Linked DNA regions of Rattus norvegicus. The protein of the gene in region 1 purifies or fractionates together with the protein of each later gene. This does not show direct contact. Links are inferred from orthologs where the notes say so. Each region holds a gene or a part of one and is shown on either strand. Other genes may lie near its edges.

Region 1 (5,821 bases):
GCAAATGGCAGGAAAATATACAAATCACCCAACATTTGCCCCACCTGCTAGCTCCATTTCTTTGAGGCAAACAATTTCTTGTGCATCTTTTGTGAACTAATTTGTACCTTAAATAGTCTGGGCACCGCAAGGATTGAACCCAGGGTCCTGGGCATGCTAAGCTTTGTCCCAGCACTAAAACCTCCATTTTCTCCTCCAAGCATTGGTTAATTCCTGTACCGAGGCTTTCATCCCTCTGGAGAAACATACACCTATCTTGTGACAGGCAGTGTACTGGCTTCTTAGACTAGCTGTATGACCCAGGACTGTTTAAGGAGCCCACCAAGTTTATGCCATGTGAGAGGAAAAGGCTCTCCAAGTGGGCCTTTCCTGGCAGGCCCTAAGTAGGAGCTGCGAAGGGCAGGCAGTGCTGCAGATAAAGAGCCTGAGAACTGTGGGCCTTTCATCTTCTGTCATCAGCTGTGGCACCTGGCAGACATTGGATACCACAGCCATCAGACAAAGACCTGGTCATTCAAGCCATTGCTTGGCCTCTCTGCCCAGACTTGTCCTGGAGAAACTGTAGGCTCTGGTTTCTTTAGGAGGCCCTGTGTGGAAACGTCTTTTGTCTTTGTGGTGCCAGGAATACCATCATGTGCTCATTGGCTAGGTGAGCCTGGCGCCTTGGTGGGGATAGTGATGCTCCCTAGACACAGCGGGGCAGGGCAGGCAAGTGCCCAGTTCCTGGCTGGGCTGAGGCCAGATGGGTCCTTTCAGACCTCTCCCTTTACTTCAAAGTTGTTTCATTCTAGCGACCTTATCACAGCCTTCTGTGAGCTGCCCATACAGCATAGTCTGTTCAGGTTGGGCTGACTGTCCTGGTTCACTACTGGATGGATTCCCAGCGCGGGCCTCACAGGCCTCACACACAGGCAGAGAGCATGATTACCCGAAGAATATACCCTCCATTCCACATCCCTGTTTTCTCTCTCCAGGCTTGGCGCTTCACTCCAACAATGGCTATTTGGGGTGTGAAAGCCTCTTCAAAGTTCAAAGGTAGGAAATAAAGGTTAAGATTATCCAACAAGGTGGTGCCTGCCTCCCAGCGCTGAGCTATTGGAAACACAGATCTGAATTTAAAGCCAGCCTGGTCTAAATAGCGAGTTCCAAACCTGGTTTATCTAGTAAGACCCTGTTTCAAAACAAAACAAAACAAAACAAAAAGAGTATAAGGCGAGTATATGTGGTGAAAAAAAAAAGCCGGTAATCTCACGAGTTTTAGACCAACCTGGTCTACGCAATGAATTTGCAGTCACTCTGTGCCAAACGAGACCCCGTCTTAAAATGCAAAGAAAATAAAAACTAAGCAGGTGCACCAAGTCAGGAGTATTTAGAGACACCTTGACTCAACATCCGTAATTTTTTAAAGCTCAGTTATCAGTGGAGTAAGGTTCAAGTCCTTAATTCCAGGTCGGAAAAAAAAAAAAAAAACCAAACAAACCAAAAACCCTTATTTCCTTGGGTTATTAGGAGAGTAACAGTGGTCAGGCTGAGGTGACTCCTTTAAAGCACACCCACCCACAACCGGTTTTGCGGTTTGTTCTTTCCAGGCTTTTCAGGACTGGGGTCTTTCAAGCAGTTTAAGACAGCCTCTGCCTGAAAGACCCTTCGGGTCGCGATGGTTCCCCAGCCGGTGCCGGCGTCCGCACGGAAGGAGAGCACGGCGTTGTTCAGGACGGCGGAGTAAAGTGGAAGTCCCCCTCCTGCTCAGCCACCCTTCCACCCATCGCCGCTCAGCACCTCTCCAGGAGACCTCTGCGGCGCCCAGAACCTGCCACCCGCCTTCCGCATGCCGTCAGGCACTCTCAACGGCCAGCCCGGCCGGCTGTGTGACGTCACGAACTCGGGGTCCTCGGTGCCCTCTTCCCGCTCCTATAAAAGCTGACGCCGCGCGGCGCTGCTGTAGTGGCCTTGTTCTCGAGACTTCTATTCGGTTGTGAACTCTGTTCGGCAGCCTCAGGCCTGCGGTCTTGAGACCGAGCACGGTGAGTAGCAGCCCGCGAGCCGGACCAGGTCCTGGAGGGAGGGGCTGGGTGGGAGCCCCGGGTTGGCTGTGGCGTGCACGAGGCGGCGAGTCGGCCTGGCGTGTCCTGAGGCGCTGTGCGGCCCGTTGCCGACCCCGGACCGCGGGAGGCGCGAGGCGGCCGAGTCAGGCCTTCTAGGGCCGCCCATCCTTTCGGCGCTCGCTCGCTGCTGTATCCAGCTCTGTGGCAGGCCTGCTCTTTTGCGGGCGACGTCAGTCGGCCCCGAACGCGGCTGCAAGGCCTAGGCTTCGTCCCGGGCCTGCCTTAGCGACAGGCTTGTTGCTCCGCGCTCCAGGGCGGGTTGGCCGCAAGGCTTTGAGTAGGGGTCCCGGGCCTTCCGGGTGGTGGCGGTCGTTGCCACTCGATACTTAGCTCTCTCCCTTCCTCCTGTATCTGGCGACATTTGCTCCTTACTGGTCTTACCTATTTAACCACCGAATATGCAGGTAACAGGTTCCCGATATTTCTTCGCTTTTTTTTTTTTTTTTGTCACGTCCTGCAGTCTCTGAACTTATTGTAATAGACCTTGTCGTCTGAGGTGTGTGACTTTTAGGAGCCCTTGACGCTAAAACCCAAGGTGTTGGGTTTTTAAGGGATAGTGTTAAAACATGCCTCTTGGCTCACTTTTTCATGGAGTCCTCAGGTTTGGAGACTCAGTTTTTCATCAGAATGTTACAGTAGACTGTGTTGTGGCAAAGAACAATGCACTCCCTTCTGCCCTGCAGTCCAGTAACAAGTGGCAGAATTTCGAGTCACTTAAAACAGGTTTGTTTTTAAAGTCTGTTTTAAGTGTACTAGAATTCTCATGCTAGACTTGGATGGTGGTTTAGTTTCCAAGTCCAGGAGCTTAGAGAACTAAAGAAGGGTTTTTTGAAAGCATATCAAATCGAAATCTCATACATTATTACTTAAAAATTTTGCACTTAATTCCACCACAACAAAAGTGAAGTCTAGGATTACAGAGTGCATTGAATTACAGATTAACTGATTGCCTCCCTGGCTCTCTTGCAAGTAACCTGATACCTAAATTTGACTATGACTAAGCATGTCTTTATTGTGAATTATTTCAAGGAAATATGGAATTGTCTTTTAAAATAACTTTATTAGCCACATAGACTTGTTCCTGAGTGATCATTACAGTGCTGGGGACCATAAAGAGAACATAGTGTTTTGCTATTAAAAGCTGGTCTCTTTAACTTTTATTGTTGCCTTATAAGGAGGGTCTGCTGCTCTGGGCTTCTCTGTTCTGCAGCATATTTGTGAGTTGAAAAGTGAACTCTTGAGTCTTTTCAACCATGGATGATTGTGAAACAAGCTTTATCCCCCCCCCCCCCCCAATTATTGTTTACTTGAGGAATGGGGACAAGTGTCTCAGAAAGCTGAATGAATATTTTAGGAGATACGCCGAGTCTTAAGTGTTTGACCCTTAAATAGGTACAATAGTTATTTTAAGTGCTAACCCTATAACACCCAGGTATTCCTCAGAAGCATAAGACCTGCAGAGTTACATGTGAGTTGGGGATTTTGGTGCCCACCTTTTTTTTTTCTTTTTTCTTTTTTCTTTTTTTCGGAGCTGGGGACCGAACCCAGGGCCTTGCACTCGATAGGCAAGCGCTCTACCGCTGAGCTAAATCCCCAACCCCAGGTGCCCACCTTTAATCCCAGCACTGGAGGCAGAGGCAGGTTGATGGCTGAGTTCAAAACCAGTCCTTGCTACAGAGCAAGTTGCAGGACAGCTAGGGCAACACAGAGGAACCCTGTCTCAAAAACAAACTACTAAAAAAAGTTGCTTATGAAATTTTTTTTTTCTTTTTTTTTTTTGGAGCTGGGGACCGAACCCAGGGCCTTGCGGTTGCTAGGCAAGCGCTCTACCACTGAGCTAAATCCCCAACCCCATGAAATTTTAAAGAGGTCTTGAATTACTCTTTTGGAGTAATGAGGGGGAAATCTGAAGATGATAAATTGCTGGTTTAGAGCTTTTAGTATTAATACTGGTTTGCTTTTGTTTGGTTTTGGTTTTTCCTAAAACTCAAGTCATGTTAGGAGCTAGTTGCTTAATTTTTTTAATATATGAAATTATATTTTTCCTAATGACTTATATTTTATCTCAGTTGATGCATTTTTGGATGGGGGGGTTGTTGAGATCAGTTTTTGAGACAGGGGCAAGAAAACTAGGCTAGCCTTAAATTTATTTTGTATGTATCAAGAAGATGGCCATGAACTCCTAATGCTTCTGTTTGCCAAAATGCTGGGATTGTGGAAATACTTATACTCTGTCTCACCTTTTGGGCAGAGGGAGAGGGCAATATTGCAGATTGAACTAGAGCTTTATACATGTTAGGCATTACACTCAGGAGCTGTATCCCCAGCCTCTTTTATATTTCATTTTAAGCAGGCTCTTAATGAGTTCCACCAAGGCTGGCTTGACCTCATTATGTAACCTAGTCAGTCCTTGAAATTATGATCCTCATCTTTCCAAAAACTGGACTTCACAGGACTGGTTCCTCTGTATATCCCTGACAGTTCTGGAACTCACTGTGTACACTGGCCTTGAACTCACAAAGATGCACCTGTACCTTGACTCCCACGTGCTGGAATTAAAGGCATACAGTATTACCATGCTATTTTAAATTTATATTTGTTTGAGACAGATTCTTATGTAACCCAGACTGGACTTGAACTTGGCTGTGTGCCCAATGTCTGAATTCCTGCATCTCAAGTACTGGGTTTATAGTACCTGCCACTATGACTTAAATGTATTTTGTTGTTTTGTTTGCTTTTTTGAGACAAGGTCTTTAGGTGTAGTCCTGGCTGCCCTATTTATTACATGTAAGTACATTGTAGCTGTCTTCAGACACACCAGAAAGAGAGCATCAGATCTCATTACAGATGGTTGTGAGCCACCGTGTGGTGGCTGGGATTTGAACTCAGGACCTCTGGAAGAGCAGTCAGTGCTCTTTTAACCACTCAGCCATCTCTCCAGCTTTGTTTGTTTGTTTTGAGTTTCTCTGTGCAGCTTTTGGCTCCCCTGGGACTTTCTCTGTAGACCAGGCTGGTCTTGAACTCTAGATCCGCCTCTGTCTCCCAAGTGCCCAGATTAAAAGGCATGCTTCGCCACTGCCTGGCTGAAGCAGGTCTTTTTTTTTAATTTGGTAGGTACTTAGCCAGACGATTTCAAACTTGGACATCTGAACAATAGGTAATAAAAAAATTTAAAAGGAGCTGGGTTCACACCTTTACCCTAACCCCAGCACTGGGAGGCAGAGGCAGGCAGATCTCTCTGTGAGTTGAGGCCAGCCTGGTCTACAGAGTGAATTCTAGGACAGTCAGAGATACACAAGGAAACCTTGAAAAACCAAAACAGAAAAAAAAAAAAGACTCTAAATTTAAGCTCCTTACGGGTTTTAGGGATCTTACTGACAGCTGCCTGTATGACCTTTATTTTCTTGTATGTGGTCTTGCACTTGTTTAGAAGTGAGCATATCCTAGTCTACTCTTTGGAGTAGTTTACTTGCTTTTTACTGATAGATTTCATTGTAGGATATTTACTTTTATTTGATAGCTTTATTTATTTTAGACTGACTTTGCTCGGTTTGTTAATAATTAATTGTGGCAATTAATTTTTCAGATTGAGTAGTTATTACTCCATGAGAGCATAAAGGAATATGGAAAGCATGTATAATATCTGGATTTCTTGGACCTGCCAGCAGATGAACAGTGACACAGAGACTTAATAATTTTATTATAGCTTAGGCTAC
Region 2 (5,812 bases), on another chromosome or scaffold:
AAAACAAGCACCACCCCCCCCCCAAAAAAAAAAACAAAAGAGAGCAGAATGATACCATTGGATACTTCAAAGATTCGTCTTAAGACAAGATAAAGTATTTGATAAGTGGATGATCTCTGCCATCAGTGTTTTTTCAGTCATACCTTTATTTATGAATTTCCACTATCCATTTGTACAAGCCTGAAATAGATAGATAGATGACAGAGAGAAATAAAGAAAGAGAGAGAGAGGGAGGGAGGGAGAGAGAGAGAGAGAGAGAGAGAGAGAGAGAGAGAAAGAGAGAGAGAAAGAAAGACCGTCTGAATCTGTCTCACCTAGGGTCCCCAAGTAACTAGAGTCTATACTCTCAGTACTATGGTGCTTTGCCCATGCCTTTCAATCTAACCATTCTATGTATGTAGTTCTTTACTTTCTTTTCAGATCCACAAAATTTAAAGGAAAAGCAATTGTCATTCAGACAAAATTTGGTTCAACATTCAGGAGCCATGAAGAGAGAGGCCATTACTATAATGTGTGGGTCAACATTTCTTCATAGATTTGGACTAAAGTTAGTCCTGATGTGGAGAAACTAAGTGACAACCAAAACAACTCAAAGACTGTGACATTAGCCTAGACACAATAGACAAAAATTTGGGTTACTTGGTGGAAGACACCTTGAGGAAGGGATTAGCAAGGCATAAGCATGTAATTATACCCCAGTAGGGAAGCAGTTGTTGTTCATTTGTTTTTACTAAAAATCAGGAAGTGGATTGCACATAGGTGGATCTCAGGCAAGGTTTCTTGCTACAAAAAATTGCACAATACTGGACTTGACTACTGAGCCTGTGGGCCCTATTACAATAATCACTTCATAGTCTTGAGAATTATAAAAGTCAGATTAAAAGATCTCATCAATGCCTGGCTCACACTGTAGTTCTTTTGTTTTATGTGTATGGCGTGTGTATGCGTACACCTCGGTCATTCGTGAAGCTGGAAGGCTTGGCTCCCCTTGAACTGAAGTTCAAATAATGCTAGGTTCTTTTCCTCCCACTGTTGGGATTACAAATTACAAAACAAAAAACAAAAAACTACACATATTTCCTTAATCTTTTTACTATGAGATGAACCGAATTCACTATATTTTGTCCAAAAGACTGTGACACTTGGTATTCAAATGACCCTTTGAAATTACCCAAACTTGTTTAATATCAAATATAATAAAAACCTGCGTATTTACGACGGTTGCTCAGATTTAGCCACCTTACTTTTAGAATGGATACTGTATAGATGTTCTGTTGAGTCCCCTACTGTCCTAGCCAGGAAAAGACGATGTCAATTTCTCAAGGTAAAAAATAAAGTAAAATGGATCTAACCTGACCACGACAAGAGGTCTCCAACTGCCCAAAGGTAAAGTTAATGGATCCAAGCGAACTGAAGATGAAGGATCTAAGAACTGGCTAGCAAACTTTGTCGTAAACAAAGTTGGAGAATGAGCAGAAAGCAAATGAAACGGGAAACTCCGTAGGAAGAGAGGCCAAGGAAAGCCGACTCAAGGCCATTAGAGGAAAAACAGAAAAACGCACTTGAGAACAGATCAGAATCCCACTAGCCAACAGCCTCATACCTGGGCTTCCAGTTCCCGGTGGCGCGTAGTGATGACCTCAGGCGCAGCATCCAATCCCATCAAGCTTAGGGAGCGAGGCGCCTCCACCGAACAGTCACTTCCGGGCTGAGAGGCGCGGCGGCCGAGCTGGGCGTGCGCCCTTGCTTCTTGCCCTCAACCCGCATGGCGGATCCCGGGGCGCGTCGCGGGCAGGCAGGGCGAGGCGGGTGGTTCCGGCGCCCGCGCTGAGCGGCTACGAGGGGCGGGGACCCGAGTGGCCCGCGCCATCTGCCCTCAGTGAGGCGGGGCGCGCAGCGGACGCCCCCGGGCAGGGGCGGGAGCGGTGGAGGCGCGAGCGGCTGTCGCTGAAAGGGGCGGTGAGCGAGCTGCTCCGGTCTCTAGGCGAGGCTTGGCCTCCCGCGCCGAGACGGGGCGCAGCGACGGCAGCGGCGGCCCTCGGGCCGGCTGGTGAGGCGATGGCGGCGCCGGGCCCGGGGGCTGGGGCAGCCTCGGGCGGCGCTAGCGGCGGCGCCGGCGCCAGCGGCGGCGCCGGCGCCAGCGCCGGCGCGGGATCCGCGTCCTCCGGGATCGGCGGCCGGTTGCCCAGCCGGGTGCTGGAGTTGGTGTTCTCCTACCTGGAGCTGTCCGAGCTGCGGAGCTGCGCCCTGGTGTGCAAGCACTGGTACCGCTGCCTCCACGGCGATGAGAACAGCGAGGTGTGGCGGAGCCTGTGCGCCCGCAGCCTAGCAGAAGAGGCTCTGCGCACGGACATCCTCTGCAACCTGCCCAGCTACAAGGCCAAGGTGAGGGAATCCCGGGCCATGTCGAAGCCCAGTTCCTCTCCTGCCCGGTGTTCTTGGGGTTTACCTTGAAAGCTTGAGTTAGAGGTTTCATCTCACCATCCCGTCTTTCTACGGCTTAAGCCAGTCAGTACCACCCCTCCTTTCCATAACGATCTTTTCTTTGGATTGAAGTTGTGCTTCGTAATCCACCTCACTTTTAAAAATACTAGGTGGTTTCCCATCATTCATTTTCCTCAGCTCTACTTTCAACAGTTTTTGCTCTTAAAGACCAGCCGATACCCTTGATCATATATTTTCCCTGGCCTCCAAGTAGAATGGCACTAATGCATTCGAGGTCGCTTTAAAATGGGTTTAGTTGCTGGGGCTTTTGCGTTCACCATCCCCTTTCTTGGCTCTGATTAATAAGCACGTTTTCATTATTTTCACCCATGTTCTCTTAGGGCCACAATATTTAACGCTTCCAAGTGATGATCAGGGTAGGCATCCTGCTAACTAACTTGTAAGAAAGAGACTTTAATATTACTTCCTCTCATTGGTGCGGTATAACTCATCAAACTGCCTTGTCCTGCTGTTATTGATAACTTTTCTTAGTTCTACTGGGGTGATGTCTCTTTTGTCATGTAATATGTTTATTCCTGTTTTGCTGGGCTTTTGTTGTTGTCGTTCTTGATTCTTGTGCTTTCATAACAAAATTAAAATGCTAACAAACAGGTCGTGGCAGGACCAAGTATTCTCCAGCATACAAACAAAAGGCCTTGGACTAAGGTTCATGTAGGTAGATAGTAGCTCTTCAGGATAGCAGTCATCAAAAGCATATGAAGCTGGATGTGGTGGCGCACACCTTTAATCCCAGCACTCCAGAGGCAGAGGCAGAGGCAGGTGCACCTCTGTGAGTTAGGGCCAGCTTGGTCTGCCAAGTGAGTTCCAGGACAGCCAGGGCTACATAAAATGAGAGACTGTCCAAAACAAGGAGCATATACGAGAGATGATAGACGTCTGACCAGGAATGTAGTAAATATATCTTTTCTTTTTTAATTCTATATTGCCAGTGAGTGTCTAAGTAATTTTTAATGTGAAATAGGTGCACTCTTTCTTTTAATATACATGTATTATTATAAATATGTGTATACACATATTTTATGTCTGTTTTTGGAGACAGGGTCTCACTGTGTGTCCGGGTGGTCTCCAACTTGCCATCTTTCTGTCTGTTCCTTGAGAGTGCTGGGATTATAGGATGGGCCACAGTACTGATATATTCTTATATATTAAGACGAGTTTTCGTCTGATGAGAGAAGGAACACTGCTGTCAATTATGTCAACTACCAAATAAATTGTCTGTCTGTCTGTCTGTCTTTCTTTTTTTCTTTCTTCCTTTCTTTCTTTTTTTCTTTCTTTATTTATCTGAGACAGGATTTCAGTATTCAGCCTCGGCTGGCTTGGAAGTTAACAGAAATCCACCTGCCTCTTGTCTTCAAAGTTCTGAGTCTAAAAGTGCCACCACTCCTGCCACCGTCCCCATCATATTTTTGTACTTATTTTTTCTTTGACACAAGTACACATACTCATGCATATGTGAAGAATACCAGTGCCCACAGAATCTAGAATGTCTACTGCTGTAGCTGGAGTTACAGACATGTGACCTCCCTCTGCAACACACACACACACACAGGAAAATCAGGGGGCACTCTTTTTTTTAATTTTAAAAGATTTTATTTATTTTATGTATGTGCTCTCTAAATAAATAAAAAGGTTTTATTAATTTAGTATGTGCACACTAGAAGTGTGCATCAGATCTCATTACAGATGGTTGTGAACCACCATGTGGTTGCTGGGAATTGAACTCAGAACCTTTGGAAGAGCAGTCAGTGCTCTTAACCACTGAGCCATCTCTTCAGTCCCCGGGGCACTCTTAACTGCAGACTAAATTGATACTGATTTTGGTTTTTCCGGAGAGATTATAGTTTTAAGTTTCTAATCTTCATTATCTTTCTGCTGCGTGCACTGCGGCTCCAAGGTGGGCTTGTCTTACCCAGGTTCTTGTAGGTGACAATTGTGAAAATGCAGTGTTAATTCAGGAGGACTCAGTGTAGAAGTCCTTAGACAGGGAAATAACTAACATGTGGCACACATTGCTACCTAGTGTAGTATAGGAATACTAGCAGTCCGTGGGGAGGAAGAACTTAGGAGCTGAGTGGAGAAAAAGTTTGAGATTAAGATGCCACAAAGCTGAACTTTAAGATGAGGTTTATGATGTTAAATTTTATGAAAAACTCTGAGCAGAAAAACAAGGAAAGCAAAAATGCAAACTCTTACCCACACTTTGCCTTGTGGGGATTACAGTGTAGTAGAGTGCGTGTGCGTGTTCATGTGCCTGCGCCTGCCTACAAGCCTTCCTGCCTTCCTGCCTGCCTCCCTGCCTGCGTTTCTTTTTTCAGTACTGGGGATTGAATATGTGCTAGCTGCATCCCCCAGCCTGGGGGAATAGCTATTAATCTGATCACTGCCGTTGTGAAACTGCATCTGGTAAGTATTATGAGTGAGAGTCACATCTGTTCTGAGTGTCAGTAATGGAGGATTTAACTAGGTACGGAGGTCAGGAAGAGACTTTCTTATAAGACATGATGCACAAGCTTAGTGACACCTAAAAGATAAGTATAGAGGCCAAGAGGAGCAAGAAGAGCCTCTGAGGAGGGACTCTGCTTGTATGAGAAACAAGGTGACTGCCAGTGGTTGCTCTGAGAGTGCAGGTGACGCTGGTTTGAGTAAGATAAAAGGAGTGGGACACACTACACTGAAGCCTTTCTAGTTGTAAGCAAGAACAATGGCCGTGGGGAGTGGTGCCATGATCAGTTTGTGGGTTAGTTTTGACTCCACTATGGAGAACAGGTTGGAATACGATTTTAGAAATGTGGTAGATCCACTAGAAAGAGGGTAGTGAAGGAGATGGGGGAAAATGGACAAACTTAGGAAATAGAGTAACAGAATTTGATGACTGTTCCTCCTATTGCCTTTAGATGTGGCACTAGGATTTTAGGTCATCATAAATTAAAATTGATTTTTTTCACTCAGAGAATATTAAGATACTGGGATTATCTATGTACTCTCTGAAATTTGCGGGATCAAACAGTTTTGTTTTTTTTGTTGTTGTTTTTTTAAAGAATCTGTAGAATGTGGCAGTAGTTTTGAAATAAAGACGAGGAAGAAGGAAGAGCTAAGGATGACTCCTAGATATTTGGCTTATATAATCTAAGTATCACTTGAGCAAGAGTTTGGAGGAAAATGACAGCAAGTTCAGTTGTGGAAGGTCAGAATTCATAGTGTCTTTGAGATATTCGTCAGATTTCAGATAGGCAGCTCCTGATAGCCAAGGGTTAGAAGCAGTCTAGGCTAAAGATAGGAATTTCTAGTTGGACTGAATGAAGGGAAA
Region 3 (5,792 bases), on another chromosome or scaffold:
CAAGTAGAGGTGGTTGTGATGGCTAGTGTCTAAATTCTTGGCCCTCAGAATCTGAGAGGGGACCAAGCCAGCCTTGGCTACAGCAGAAGACCCCATCCTAAAAGTCTAAACAAACCAACATAAGGAGAATGATTATAAGAGTTATTTATGACATTTTGGCAACTGGTATTTTAATTTCTAAGTTGAAAATTGGAAATATATATTTATTCATGTTTCCTAACATATTTTACCTTTATATTTACATTACTTGATCTTCCTGACTGTTCTGCAAATTCTTCAACCACTTAAGTGAAGCATATGTGACTAAGAGACCATGCTAGTATTTTATGAGGTTGGGGCTCTGTGTTATCAGAAAGTAGAAATAACCTACCAAGTTTTTCCTAGGATTTGGAAGGATTCCCATTTTCTCTTCCTTGGTGACATGATCCTCCTGAAATCTGAAATACTTGGCTTAGTGCTGTAGACTGTGGCCAGCAAAGTAAGCAGAGCCTGATCAGACCTGAGGGACCTCAGATGGATGTCTTTCCTGTGTGTAACCAGAAGAGTGATGGCTTCAAAGATTCCCCCCTACTAGTATCCACAAAACTCCTTCTTATTGTACACGTGAGGGAAAAAAGAAGACTTAAAAGCAACAGAAGTTTTAGTCATTCATTTCAGGGGAATATTGCATTGAAAGTTTTAAAATACTAAAAAAATAAGAGAAAATAAGCTGTCTTTTGTTTTCAAAGGGTAAATATGAATTTTTCAGAAAACAATAATTACATTTTATTATATTTTATGTGCAATTCTTAAATATTAAATACGAACATTTAAGGCACGTATAGTTGGGTCTTTATTTTAGTAAGGTTTTGTATTTCTCTCCCTCCCTCTCTCTCCCTCCTTCCCTCCGTGTGTGTGTGTGGGGGGGGTGGGGGTGGTTTGGTTTGGTTTGGTTTGGTTTGGTTTGGTTTGATTTTCAAGACAGGATTTCTTTGTGTAGCTGACCCGGAACTAGCTCTGCCCTCCAGGCTGGCCTTGAACTCACAAGAGATCCACCCGCCTGGTGAGTTGCCTGCATTAAAGGTTTAGCCACCGCCTCCTGGCTGCCCCGTTTTCTTATGCACACTTTTTCTACTCTTGAGACATCGTCTCACTAAATAGCTGACTTGGAACTAACTTGAACTCATGCAGTTCATTTTAAATGTAATATCTATTTGGGTCACTGGAACTTCATGGTGTACTATTTGATGTCACAACCAAGGATTAACAAAATAAATGGACATCTGAATTTCTTGTAATACACCACTTGGTACCAACAATAGCTCAAGTTGGCATTTTAAATTGACCCATCTTTATTAGAGGCGAGGAAAAGTTTACTGGAATACCAGGCATAGTGACACATGCCTTTAGTCCTAGAACAGAACTCATGAGACCGAGGCGGGTGGATTGTCAGTGAATCGCAGGACAACTGGGAGACCCTGCCTCAAAAACAACAAACAAAAAATATATACAGGAGAGGCGAAGCAGTAGTAAACAGTAAAAATATCAGTTTCCCTGTGTTGAATGGGCAGCACCACCGAGAGAGAGGAGCAGCTAGTCAGCTGGTAAGGGAGCGGCTAGTCAGCTGAGTCCATACAGTCCTGCCTAGGCGCCACCCAGCGACCAGGGGAAGTCGCTACACCCCTTAGCTGACAGGAATGCTGACACTCCGAGGCCCCGAGGGCTAGTCTGGTCCGCCCAGCTGCTCTGGTAGGATCCTGGGAGGTTACAGACCCACAGAGGATCGGAGAGTTGCGGAAGGCTGCCGCTTGCCCCGCCCTTCTCTGCGCAGGCGCGTCCCTCAGGCGCCCGCCCTGCCAGATTCCCGTCGGGCCTTTGCTCGCGGCGACCGGCGCTCCTGGTGACGTCACTGGCCCCGACCGCCCTCATTGGTCCATTTCAATAGTCGCGGGCTACTTGAACTACAAGAACAGCCGGCGGGCCGCGCGCGGCTCGCGGCACTTGGGCTCTGCGCTCCTCCCTCCCGCAGCGCCTGCTCCGTGCGTCGGCCGCCAGGGTCCCGCGCAGCCCGGGAGCGGCGGGCGCCTTGCACGCTCTGCCGCCGACGGATCCGGACCGGAGCCGCAATGCCGGGCAACTCGAGACAGGCGGGCTCGGCCCTGCTCTCCCAGCAGGAAGACCAGGAGAATGTCAACCCCGAAAAAGTGGCGCCAGCCCAGCAGCCGCGGGCGCAGGCGGTGCTGAAGGCCGGGAAGGTGCGGGGACCGGCGCCGCAGCAGAGGCTCAAGACTCGGCGGGTAAAAGGGCGCGGGGGTCTGTCGGAGGGCCGGGCGGAAGCGGTCTTGGGTTTACCAGCCCAGAGGGCCAAAAAGCATGCTGAGCTTTCTAGGGGTAGTCGGGCTGCAGCCTTTGCGGTCCGGGCGTTTTTAGTACCAAATAGCCCCACGAGCCCTGCGGACCCGTGTATACTGCCCTTCAGCACTAGTGGAGCGGTCTTCCTAAAAATTCTAGGGTCATACCAAGCAGTGCCCCGCGTGTCGACTTCGGCCATGTACCTTTCCCTCCACTTTTAAAGCCAGGCATTGCAGTAGGATATAGATCCCTTCCCCCTCACCATCTGCTTCACAGATTACTACTTAAGGGAAGGACATAAAGCAAGTATTCTGCTTGGTAAATTCCGCCATTTTAGCCAGACTTGCTGTTTTGCTCCACCCTGAGGCTAAAGTTGTGAATCAGTTCTTTCCCCTAACTTTAGTCTTTGATTAGTTTGGAATTCCAATCCGTTGCATTTATAGCCTTTGTAGAAATGGCTGTGACAAATCGGTTTACTCACCTTACCTGGACTTTGACTCATGAACTTACATTTTTCTTAAGAGTATTTGGAAATAAAAGTTGGTACCCACAGGGCAAGAAGCAAAGTATTAAAAAAGAATTCCTTCTCTTTAGGTTGCGCCTCTTAAGGACCTTCCTATAAACGATGAGCACGTCCCTACTGTTCCTTCATGGAAAGCAGTCAGTAAACAGCCTGCCTTCACCATTCATGTGGATGAAGCTGAAGAGACTCAGAAGAGGCCAGCTGAGCAAAAAGAAACTCAGTGTGAAGATGCCCTGGCTTTTAGTGCCGCTGTCTCTTTACCCGGAGCCAGAAAACCACTGGTACCTCTTGATTATCCAATGGATGGTAGTTTTGGTAAGGTTACTCTTTATTTTTACCAGTCCCTGTTTCTTCTTTCCTTCCCTCCTTGCTGTCTTTTTTTCCCCCTCTGAGTTTCTCGAGTATTCTTGACTGTCCTGAAACTCATACTCTATAAGACTAGGCTGGCCTTGAAATAAGAGATCCACCTACCTCTGCCTCCTGATTGCTGGGATTAAAGGCATGTGCTACCACACCAAACCTTTACCTTTTGAGACAGGATCTCAATCTGTAGCTCAGACTAACCTTGAACTCAAACCGTCCTGCCTCAGCCTCTCAAATTCTAGATTACAGGCCTGGCACCATCCGTACCTTGCTTGGCATACTCTAAAGATTGTTATTAAGCTAAAAAATTAGTTACTTAATTGGGTTAGTGATATTTTTGAGGTTTTTTTTAATTTTGCAAATTTCAGGTTTATTTACATTCAGTTTACGAATCAAAATGTCGTTTCAAATATATTTAAAATACGTAGCATTTTTAAAATTTTCACTCCAAATGTGTTCATCATAGCCATGACTAACGGATTTTACCACTGTACTTTAGCACTGATCGACTGCAGTCACCAAAAGTCCTGCGGTTGATATTTTTGAGTTTTAAGACTATGCTTACCTGCTCATAACACAGTGAGTTAAGATTACTACAGTGGGCTTAGAAAGGATCACAGATCCACTGACCTATAAAAGGACTCAAATCCTTAACCAGCAGGGAGGGCACTGCTGGACAAAGCTACATCAATTTTAATTAGATCTTAAATGCCTATCTTAATATGACTTTATAAGTGTTTGGCTGAGATAATAGATTTCAGTTTTATGTATGATTCACTTCTTAACATGCCAGTCCTAAGAGTGCTCCTTGAGCCTACAGTTTTAAGCATTATATCTGCCATTCCTTTAAAACTAATTTAAATGTTTGTCAGATTGCAGGTCAGACACATGGAAGGCAGAATAGCTGCTATAGACAGCTCTGCCGGTGCTATGATCTCACTGTGGAGACCAGAGATGTTGGTATCTGTCACTTTCTACCTTATGCTATATGTGTGCCAGGGGAAGGAGTATTACGCTTGCCTGTGCTGGTACATGTAGAGGCTAGAGAGAGTACTTGACTTTGGGGTATCTTCAATCACTTTTCTATATCATTTCTTAATCAAAGGTCTCATTGGGGCTCACTGATTTGGCTAGACAGCCTGGCCATCAAACTGCAGGGAACTGAGTATTTCAACCCTTTTTCTTCTTCCCGTCTAGGGTTGCAGACAATGCCACAACATCTAGCTTGAGTGGTGCTGGGAATGCAATGCACATCTTCATGCTTATCCAGCAGGCACTGCACTGCCATTTCCCAGCCCCCCAGTTCACTTAGTTCTACTGATGGGGTAGGAGGAGGGTATGGAAACTATTATTACACAGATTCCCCTATCTCAAGATAATTTAAATGGTAAAAACTAGAGCTGAGTATATTAATGCCCAATAGCACTCAGGAGGCTAAGGCAAGATTGTCAGCCTAGGTTACGGAGTGAATTTCAGGCCAGTCTGGCCCACAGAATGAGACCCTGTTTAACAAACACCAAGTCCCTTACAGATTATAGTTAGTCTGTTTGAACATGGTATGACAGACTTGATATCTTTACTAACATTTGGTAATATATGCCATTTACCCAATTCTAGTTACTCCCTCATTGTGATCTGACTATGTCAACCTGTAGGTTCTGCGATCTCAAAACATACATAATATATATTTATTTATTTATTTTAAAATTTGATGTTAAGTACTTGTCCTAACAGAACCATTGTATTATCTACTCATCTCTTGAGGAAGATGACACGTTAAGGTAATTCTCAGTCCTCTTAGTAGCCTACTGATGTATACTTCTTTTTTGGGATTAAGGTTATCCTAGAGCTATGAGGACAGTAGCCCTAAAACCAGAATAAGATATTCAGTGTTGCTTTGCCATTAGGGTGTTTTTATCGAAAGAGATAAATACTTTGACTTTAATGTCATACACAGAATCACCCCATGCTATGGATATATCTATTGTCTTAGAAGACGAAAAGCCAGTGAATGTTAATGAAGTACCTGACTATCATGAAGATATTCACACGTACCTTAGGGAAATGGAGGTAAGGCTCTGTTCATCAAAAATGGCTAAGTGAAGCAGAGAGGCTAACGATGGACACCTGCTAACTGCTAGCAAGTTACTCCAACGCTAAACTTAACGGCTACAGTGTATGTTAATTGTGTCTTTGTGAATGGTGAAGTAACTAATCATAGTTTTAATTAACCCTACTGAGTTTTTCTTCAGGTTAAATGTAAACCTAAAGTGAGTTATATGAAGAGGCAGCCAGACATCACTAACAGTATGCGGGCCATCCTTGTGGACTGGCTAGTTGAAGTGGGAGAAGAATATAAACTACAGAATGAGACCCTGCATTTGGCTGTGAACTACATTGATAGATTCCTCTCCTCCATGTCTGTGTTAAGAGGAAAGCTTCAGCTTGTGGGCACAGCTGCTATGCTGCTAGCTTCGTAAGTCTAGCTAATTTGGTTCAAAATCATCACTCACCACTCCTTCCCCCCATTTATATTCCATTTATATTTTATTGGGTGTTTTGCCTTTGTGCATCG

What was found. Proteins that work in one complex are often made in the same cells at the same time.
Region 2: the proteins of Skp1 (region 1) and Fbxo45 purify together in Homo sapiens (affinity purification with western blotting; 7 studies listed by BioGRID and IntAct, with this or other methods). This does not show direct contact. The link is inferred for Rattus norvegicus from reciprocal best matches to the Homo sapiens genes SKP1 and FBXO45.
Region 3: the proteins of Skp1 (region 1) and Ccna2 purify together in Homo sapiens (affinity purification with mass spectrometry; 4 studies listed by BioGRID and IntAct, with this or other methods). This does not show direct contact. The link is inferred for Rattus norvegicus from reciprocal best matches to the Homo sapiens genes SKP1 and CCNA2.

The regions. Positions count from the first base shown.
Region 1 is NC_086028.1:36,900,967-36,906,787, forward strand, and holds the start of Skp1 (S-phase kinase-associated protein 1), read left to right. Parts: upstream 1-1,941; 5' UTR 1,942-2,024; intron 2,025-2,062; exon of another isoform or gene 2,063-2,503; coding exon of another isoform or gene 2,504-2,509; intron 2,510-5,821. UniProt on the Homo sapiens protein: Essential component of the SCF (SKP1-CUL1-F-box protein) ubiquitin ligase complex, which mediates the ubiquitination of proteins involved in cell cycle progression, signal transduction and transcription.
Region 2 is NC_086029.1:82,054,433-82,060,244, forward strand, and holds the start of Fbxo45 (F-box/SPRY domain-containing protein 1), read left to right. Parts: upstream 1-2,024; 5' UTR 2,025-2,058; coding exon 2,059-2,385; intron 2,386-5,371; exon of another isoform or gene 5,372-5,514; intron 5,515-5,812. UniProt on the Homo sapiens protein: Component of E3 ubiquitin ligase complex consisting of FBXO45, MYCBP2 and SKP1. Functions in substrate recognition but also plays an important role in assembly of the complex.
Region 3 is NC_086020.1:121,357,909-121,363,700, reverse strand, and holds the start of Ccna2 (cyclin-A2), read left to right. Parts: upstream 1-2,004; 5' UTR 2,005-2,105; coding exon 2,106-2,276; intron 2,277-2,925; coding exon 2,926-3,169; intron 3,170-4,089; coding exon of another isoform or gene 4,090-4,177; intron 4,178-5,174; coding exon 5,175-5,287; intron 5,288-5,469; coding exon 5,470-5,693; intron 5,694-5,792. UniProt on the Homo sapiens protein: Cyclin which controls both the G1/S and the G2/M transition phases of the cell cycle. Functions through the formation of specific serine/threonine protein kinase holoenzyme complexes with the cyclin-dependent protein kinases CDK1 or CDK2.